2 linked regions of the Saccharomyces cerevisiae S288C genome follow. Each later gene encodes a partner of the first gene's protein in a complex. Each region holds a gene or a part of one and is shown in the gene's direction. Other genes may lie near its edges.

What was found.
Region 2: the proteins of YPD1 (region 1) and SSK1 are in contact, whole or in part, in a crystal structure (PDB 5KBX), measured with the Saccharomyces cerevisiae proteins. Residues at the interface, in NP_010046.1 of Saccharomyces cerevisiae: Ile13 (codon at 1,931), Glu16 (codon at 1,940), Ile17 (codon at 1,943), Ser19 (codon at 1,949), Met20 (codon at 1,952), Asp23 (codon at 1,961), Asp24 (codon at 1,964), Phe27 (codon at 1,973), Leu31 (codon at 1,985), Gln34 (codon at 1,994), Phe35 (codon at 1,997), Gln38 (codon at 2,006), His64 (codon at 2,084), Phe65 (codon at 2,087), Gly68 (codon at 2,096), Ser69 (codon at 2,099), Ala71 (codon at 2,105), Ala72 (codon at 2,108), Leu73 (codon at 2,111); in NP_013106.1 of Saccharomyces cerevisiae: Asp511 (codon at 3,038), Asn512 (codon at 3,041), Val513 (codon at 3,044), Ile514 (codon at 3,047), Asn515 (codon at 3,050), Ala517 (codon at 3,056), Ile518 (codon at 3,059), Ser521 (codon at 3,068), Phe522 (codon at 3,071), Arg524 (codon at 3,077), Lys525 (codon at 3,080), Gln556 (codon at 3,173), Pro633 (codon at 3,404), Val634 (codon at 3,407), Asn635 (codon at 3,410), Leu636 (codon at 3,413), His637 (codon at 3,416).

The regions. Positions count from the first base shown.
Region 1 is NC_001136.10:32,862-35,812, reverse strand, and holds YPD1 (Ypd1p), read left to right. Parts: upstream 1-1,894; coding exon 1,895-2,398; downstream 2,399-2,951. Other genes in the region: GTPase-activating protein GYP7, read left to right, coding at 1-1,576; PHO13 (4-nitrophenylphosphatase), read right to left, coding at 2,579-2,951. UniProt on the Saccharomyces cerevisiae protein: Phosphorelay intermediate protein that is part of the branched SLN1-YPD1-SKN7/SSK1 two-component regulatory system, which controls activity of the HOG1 pathway and gene expression in response to changes in the osmolarity of the extracellular environment.
Region 2 is NC_001144.5:160,923-165,400, reverse strand, and holds SSK1 (mitogen-activated protein kinase kinase kinase SSK1), read left to right. Parts: upstream 1-1,507; coding exon 1,508-3,646; downstream 3,647-4,478. Other genes in the region: Smc5-Smc6 complex subunit NSE1, read right to left, coding at 1-1,009; TFIIH/NER complex subunit SSL1, read right to left, coding at 3,967-4,478. UniProt on the Saccharomyces cerevisiae protein: Final receptor of the SLN1-YPD1-SSK1 two-component regulatory system, which controls activity of the HOG1 pathway in response to changes in the osmolarity of the extracellular environment.

The DNA.
Region 1 (2,951 bases):
TGAACTCGCTACCGCCGGTGTGAAACTAAACGAGAAATTCCAAGAATGGAAATGGAACGTAATGAGCAAGATAGCAGACGTGACTACCAAGTCTACCAATTTTATCGATAGTTGGCTGACTAACAACTCACCCATACAAAAATCACAAATCGACAATGAATACTTGCAAAAGCTTCTGAACAATGAGAAGGTTAAACAAATTGAACAGGATTATGACTCTGCAAGAGTGTATTTGGCAAACTGGTCATTAGGAGTAAAACAGGAAGCTGAGAGGTATCAAAAGCAGAACAAACTCTTTGATTCGTATAGGAATAACATTTTCAACGACCTGAATCTAACTGATGAATTAAGTGATACTGAAATAAATAATGCTCTGCAAAGACAATTTCCTTTAACGGAAGCGAAATGGAATTCGCTATGGGATGAGAACGATGGGAGGCTGAGGGTCACGGTAAACGAAGTTAAGGATTTCATATTTCATGGTGGGTTAGAAAATGACAGTTTGCGAGGGAAAGTTTGGGGTTTTCTCTTAGAAATATATCCGTGGGATTCTTCTCAAGACGAGAGGGTACAAATCGATCAAACTTTAGCCGCGGAATACGATCAATTGAAACTAACCTGGTCAAAAGATTTTTTACAATTTGACGATGAAGATGAAGAGGAATATTGGAACGATCAATTATTCAGAATATCTAAAGATGTGAGACGCTGTGATAGAAACTTGGAGATATTTCAATACAATACCATCGATGGATTACCACCACCGCCACAACAACTCCCAGCAAATGAAAATAACAGTACCAGCCCCGAATCCGCTAATGACGAGAGCGATGATGCAGACGATGGAGTCAGGAACCCACATTTGATACATTTACAAAACATTCTTATCACTTATAATGTCTACAACACAAACTTAGGCTACGTGCAGGGGATGACCGATCTTTTATCGCCTATTTATGTCATCATGAAGGAAGAATGGAAAACGTTTTGGTGTTTTACGCACTTCATGGACATTATGGAAAGAAATTTTCTAAGAGACCAGAGTGGCATCCATGAACAAATGTTAACTCTCGTGGAATTGGTACAATTAATGCTACCCGAATTGAGCGAACATTTAAACAAGTGTGATTCAGGAAACTTGTTCTTTTGCTTTCGAATGCTTCTAGTATGGTTCAAGAGAGAATTTGAAATGGAAGATATTATGCACATTTGGGAGAATTTCTGGACTTTCTACTACAGTTCACAATTCCAATTATTCTTCATGTTGGCCATTCTACAGAAAAACTCACAAGCTATTTTACAACATCTAAATCAGTTCGACCAAATATTAAAATTTTTTAATGAACTTAACGGGAAGTTGGATTGGAATGACCTAATGGTTAGAGCAGAGCTTTTGTTCAAGAAGTTTGAGAAAATGATGCACGTCATGGAAAGAGATTTACAAAACGTATCCTCCTCTTCATCCTCATCCTCTACCGGCGTATTGCCTTGTCAGAGCGAGAGGTTGACCCTGCTTCTTTCTAAAAAACCTATCATAAGACATGAAGGGCAAAGGAGCAAAAATTCCGTTAAATAGTGGTAAATAGAAACGGAACTTTACATATTGAATACCGGAGATATAATTCGTTTATGCCACATAATCATCAATACATCCGTAACCCGCCCGAAACGGAAAAACTGAAGAAAAATTACATAAAAAGTTTAATATTTTTATCAAATTTAATTGAACCTATATTTAGGAACATTATTGTTTTTAATTTCTAAACCGGTTGGGTTGGTCGATAGTTGTGCTCTGGATCATTGATAACCACTGACGTGTAATAGTTTTATTTCTTTGAAAAATTCAAAAGAAATAACAACACTCGTTCTCGGAAACAAGAAAATACACACAATAATGTCTACTATTCCCTCAGAAATCATCAATTGGACCATCTTAAATGAAATTATATCTATGGATGACGATGATTCCGATTTTTCTAAAGGTCTAATTATTCAATTTATCGACCAGGCACAAACAACTTTTGCTCAAATGCAACGACAGCTGGACGGTGAAAAAAATCTTACCGAATTAGACAATCTGGGCCATTTTTTAAAGGGTTCTTCTGCTGCATTAGGCTTACAAAGAATTGCCTGGGTTTGTGAAAGAATTCAAAACTTGGGAAGAAAAATGGAACATTTCTTCCCCAACAAGACCGAATTGGTCAACACTCTGAGCGATAAATCGATTATTAATGGAATCAATATTGATGAAGATGACGAGGAAATAAAGATACAAGTGGACGATAAAGACGAAAATTCCATATATCTCATCTTGATAGCAAAAGCTTTGAACCAGTCTAGGTTGGAGTTCAAACTGGCGAGAATTGAGTTATCTAAATATTACAACACAAACCTATAATCGTCATCATTTTATTCACACCTCCGGATAATCCATTCTTCCCCGGAAAAACACATGTACAATATATATTATATATATATATATATGTATATCAAATCATACAACTTACATAAAAACAACAAACCTGAATATTTTTCCTTTTCAAAAAGTAATTCTACCCCTAGATTTTGCATTGCTCCTCTATAACTCATTATTGGTTAAGGTGTAGATGTCACCAAGTTTATCAATGTAAAATTTAGGTCTTGGATAATCGTGCGAAATCTTCAAGGCTCTCTCTTCGGTTTCAATACCACTCAAAACGAGTAGTGTGCCACCTAACCCACCTTCAACACCGAATTTCATATCGGTGTTTAATCTGTCACCAACCATACAGCACTTTGATCTATCCAGGTTGAATGCCGATATAATGCTGTTTAGCATATTTTGATTTGGCTTACCACAGTACGATGGCCTCCTATTAGATGAGAATGCCAATGATTCAATCATGGAGCCTGCACCGGGAAATGTATAACCCTTTTGCGGGAAAGTAGAATCAACATTTGTACCAACAAAG
Region 2 (4,478 bases), on another chromosome or scaffold:
AAATAACGTATACGCCCTCTGTGATTAGCGATGAACCGCAACGATCACAATTCTTGCTTACATGGGTAATATAATGCTTGAAACAATCAACATGCCAAATTTGAGACAGACTATTCTCTCCAGTTTCCTCATTCTCTTCTCGGCATGATTCGTTGCCGCACCTGACACCTTGAATTGCCAGCTTGTGGCAATTTTGGCAAGTGTTCAAATTGTACATGGATGTTAGATACTCTTCTAGTTCTGCTATACAGCGAAGATCAATACCGAATTTCCCTTCCTGAGTCCTGTAAAACCATTTCAGTTCGCATAATCGGAGTAGTAAGTCTTCGATGTCCGTTGCTGTTAATTCTTGAAATTGGAAAAGATTGGTGGACCCTACAGTAAACGTACTGAACTTACGCCATTTCGCGAGGTTTGAGTCTCCTGTAGCTGCTACTAGAATACGGTTGACTTCCTTCACAATTATCGAGGTTTCCAGTGCAGGCCCTTCAACGATAGTCTCTCCACTGATCATGAATTGTTCTATGGCCCATTTCATAAACTCGATCTCGTTTTGGTTAAACCTTGTGGCTAACTTAGTCTCTTCTGTTGATGCTAAGTTAACATATACGAAAAACCTGTTACTCTCCGGAAGTACTATCGATTGCAAAACTGCATAATCATTATTGTGAGCCCTTATTGCTGTATTATCTTCGAAGGACTCAAAATTCTGCTTGGCCTTTAAAGTCACTGCGTTTCTACCAATCCCGTGGTTGATCCGAATGATCTTGTAACCCAAAAGGTTCAGTTTTACGTTTATAGCGTTTATATAATCATTTAGCTTGTCGACCCACTGCTGGATCGACCATTCAGTGTTAAGCGTTGAAGCATCGGTTTCCAATCTCATTAGGGCTAGAATGAGAGCATTTTCATGGCAAATGCCTCTTGCTGACAAGATATATTGCAGCAGATATTTTGCTGTAGCATCCCCTGTTACAGGTGCAGAGACCTGCTCTTCATGTACCTCCATTCGCCACGACTACTATCAGACTTCAGTCAGCAATGAATATGTACCGAACCGCATACATATATAGTTATTATTCTCATCTCCATGCCTATAATTATCGCGTTTCTTTTTTTGGTATCCCTTAACCTAATTTCCATTTTCCAATAATTCAAATTCCCTATATTATTGATATCAGTGTCCTAACTATTTTTTTCAGCTTTCCGAAGCCCTAAAAGCGCCCCTGGATTGAATCTTTGACTTTTTTTCTAGTGAATTTAATAGTGGCTATATATTTATAAATAGGTCTGGTTGCCTTTTTGTTAGGAATGACTACATTGAAACTAGCCAAGCTGTGGTTAACTAGTTGGAGACATTGTTTTATTCAGAAAAATTACGTGTTTTGTTAGTTTTAGACCTCAGAATAGCGTTTATTTTGAGTACAAGTTCGGCCGTTTTGTATAAGAAATATTGGAAAGGCTGCTGTAAATCAAAAACGAATCGATTTTGGGGAGACAAGTAAAAATGCTCAATTCTGCGTTACTGTGGAAGGTTTGGCTACGAATAGACAACTCCACTGATGAAGTAAACCAACCAATTGCTGTACAGTTCGATGAAATAGATACTGTTGATGATTTGAAGAGCAGGTTTTTTCAGAAACTGAGTTCGACTCGATGGCGAGAAATTAACGATAATGCTTCCATTGCAATAGGCCTCTACGCACCTAAATTTGACAATCAAGCCGACAATACCAGTAGTAACAACACTAACGATAATAGTTGTCGAAGTAAGAGTAACGGTGCTGGAAGTGGCGCCAACCTTTCCGTTAATAGCAATACCAAGAGTTCAGTGAGCCCCACAGCAGGATCATTTGGTCTTTCAAAAGACCTTGCAAAGGACAGGAATGTTCTCCAGCATCCTAAACCTACGCAGAAAAGAGGAGCATTATACGACGCCTTTGCCGCCGTGCCGACAGTGGCCGCGACTACCAATGTGGATTTTCCTCCCAACGAGGCGCCAATGCTAAGCCCGCAAAGACCATACTCTACTAGTCCTAAACAGTTTCCAGCAACAACTAAAAGTCCGTTACTGCGATTTGCCTCAGTCTCACCCTACCCTAAATTTCATTCTGATAATCAAATTATGGCATCAGCTGGTCTTACATACGTCTCACCGCATAATAAAAATAAATACACAAGGCCGTTGATTAGAAAAGGTTTAAATTTTACCACAGAATCAGTTAATGATTGCACTTATAAAATCATCTTTGAACCGGATGAATTGGCTATTAACATATATAAGGAACTATTCGGAACCATGGGTTCCCAACCTGCATCGCAGCCTTTGCTGATATTTTCGAATGTTAATTTACGCCAGGATGTACCGCCTTTAGATATCTTAAATGTTGTAGACTATGTTCCTACGAATGAAGAAATTTCGCAGCAGAAAACTCAACCAACAGACCATGGGGCCGTTGGTGTTTTTCATCTAGACGACCATATTTCTCCGGGCGAACAAGGTCTTAAGCAAACAATTGGTGATAAAGCAGATCTTAAAGGTAAAGATGGCAATAGCAGCCCTCAGGAATTTAAATTAATAACTGATGAAGAGCAATTGAGAAGAGCGTCACAAGAACTGAAGGATGAGGAAAAGGATGCCGAGTCTCCTTGGCAAGCAATCTTGCTGTTACCAAAAGGTTATAAAGGAGGGGTAGATTTTCGAAATAAACCAGTGGCCCACACGGATTCATCTTTCAATAATGAAGACACAATTACTCATTCAGAGTTAGAAGTGAACACCGGATCCCCTTCGCAAGAAAGCGGATCACTTAATGAAGCTGGTATAGGCATAACGCAACCCATGTCGGAAGTACAAAGAAGAAAAGAAGACGTTACGCCCGCATCACCAATATTAACAAGTAGTCAAACGCCGCATTACTCAAACTCGCTTTATAACGCACCTTTTGCTGTTTCCTCTCCACCAGATCCTTTACCAAACCTTTTTACCACCACAAGTGAAAAAGTTTTCCCCAAAATTAATGTTTTAATAGTTGAAGACAACGTCATCAACCAAGCTATCTTAGGTTCCTTTCTGAGGAAACACAAAATCTCATATAAACTGGCTAAAAATGGTCAAGAAGCTGTTAATATTTGGAAGGAAGGCGGTCTTCATTTAATATTTATGGATTTACAGCTGCCTGTCTTGTCTGGTATAGAAGCTGCCAAGCAGATTAGGGACTTCGAAAAACAAAATGGCATTGGCATTCAAAAAAGTCTCAATAACTCACACTCCAATCTTGAAAAAGGTACTTCAAAGAGATTCTCTCAGGCGCCCGTGATTATTGTAGCATTGACCGCATCTAACTCTCAGATGGATAAAAGAAAAGCACTTCTTTCTGGTTGTAACGACTACCTGACTAAACCAGTGAATTTACACTGGCTTAGTAAGAAAATTACAGAGTGGGGATGTATGCAAGCCTTGATTGATTTTGACAGCTGGAAGCAGGGAGAAAGCCGGATGACCGACAGTGTTTTGGTTAAATCTCCACAGAAACCTATTGCACCTTCCAACCCTCACTCATTCAAACAAGCGACATCTATGACCCCTACACACAGCCCAGTAAGAAAAAATTCAAACCTCTCGCCCACTCAAATAGAATTGTGAGTTTGGTTGTACCGTGTAGAGGACATTATGATAGAATGTAACGATATTTATTCAAAATAATTATTAATATTATTGTAAAACAAAGAATTTTTTTTTTTTTTTTAGTTGAATAAGTGCCTGATAAATTGAAAATAGTAATAAATATTCTTAATGCCGTAAGTGCTATTAAGATTTTCTCGTAATAAACAATAGGACATTAAATGAGGTTATTTTTGTAATAATTATGTAGTTATATGTCCATCAAAAACTATTTCGTTCTCTACTACTTGGATTTGTTATATGATGGAAGAGTGATCGTGTTATACGCTGACAGATTTTCGTTAAGTTATTACGGGCTTGGATTCACAGCCTGGGCAGTTATGAAGGATTTCATGGATGAACACATCGCAGTCAACACAAAATTCTTGTTTACAATCTTCACAACGATAGCGAGAACTTGTCAGTAGTTTACCATTTTTATGGTTTTTCAGTATGGGAAATCTTGACTGGCAACTAAAGCAGTCTTCTGATCGAAATTTTTCTGTTGTAGGTACTTCTGCAAATGTTTTTAACGGCATCAGATGGTGATATGATCTGGCCAGGTGGGTAGAAAGGATTAGCATCAAGTCACAACATGGACAGACTGTGGGCAATGAACAAACTTTACTATGACAATTGGGACAGAAGTATCCGCCGTAAACTAACTTGGAATGGCACGAACAAAAAGTTGGAGTATCTTCGAATATCCTTGTCGGAAACCCCATCTTTACGAGTGTGAAACCCTTATTAATTTTGTTAACGGGTAAAGGGGTAACAGCCTCGTTAAATAGCTCCTTTAAGTGAGTTTCATCGA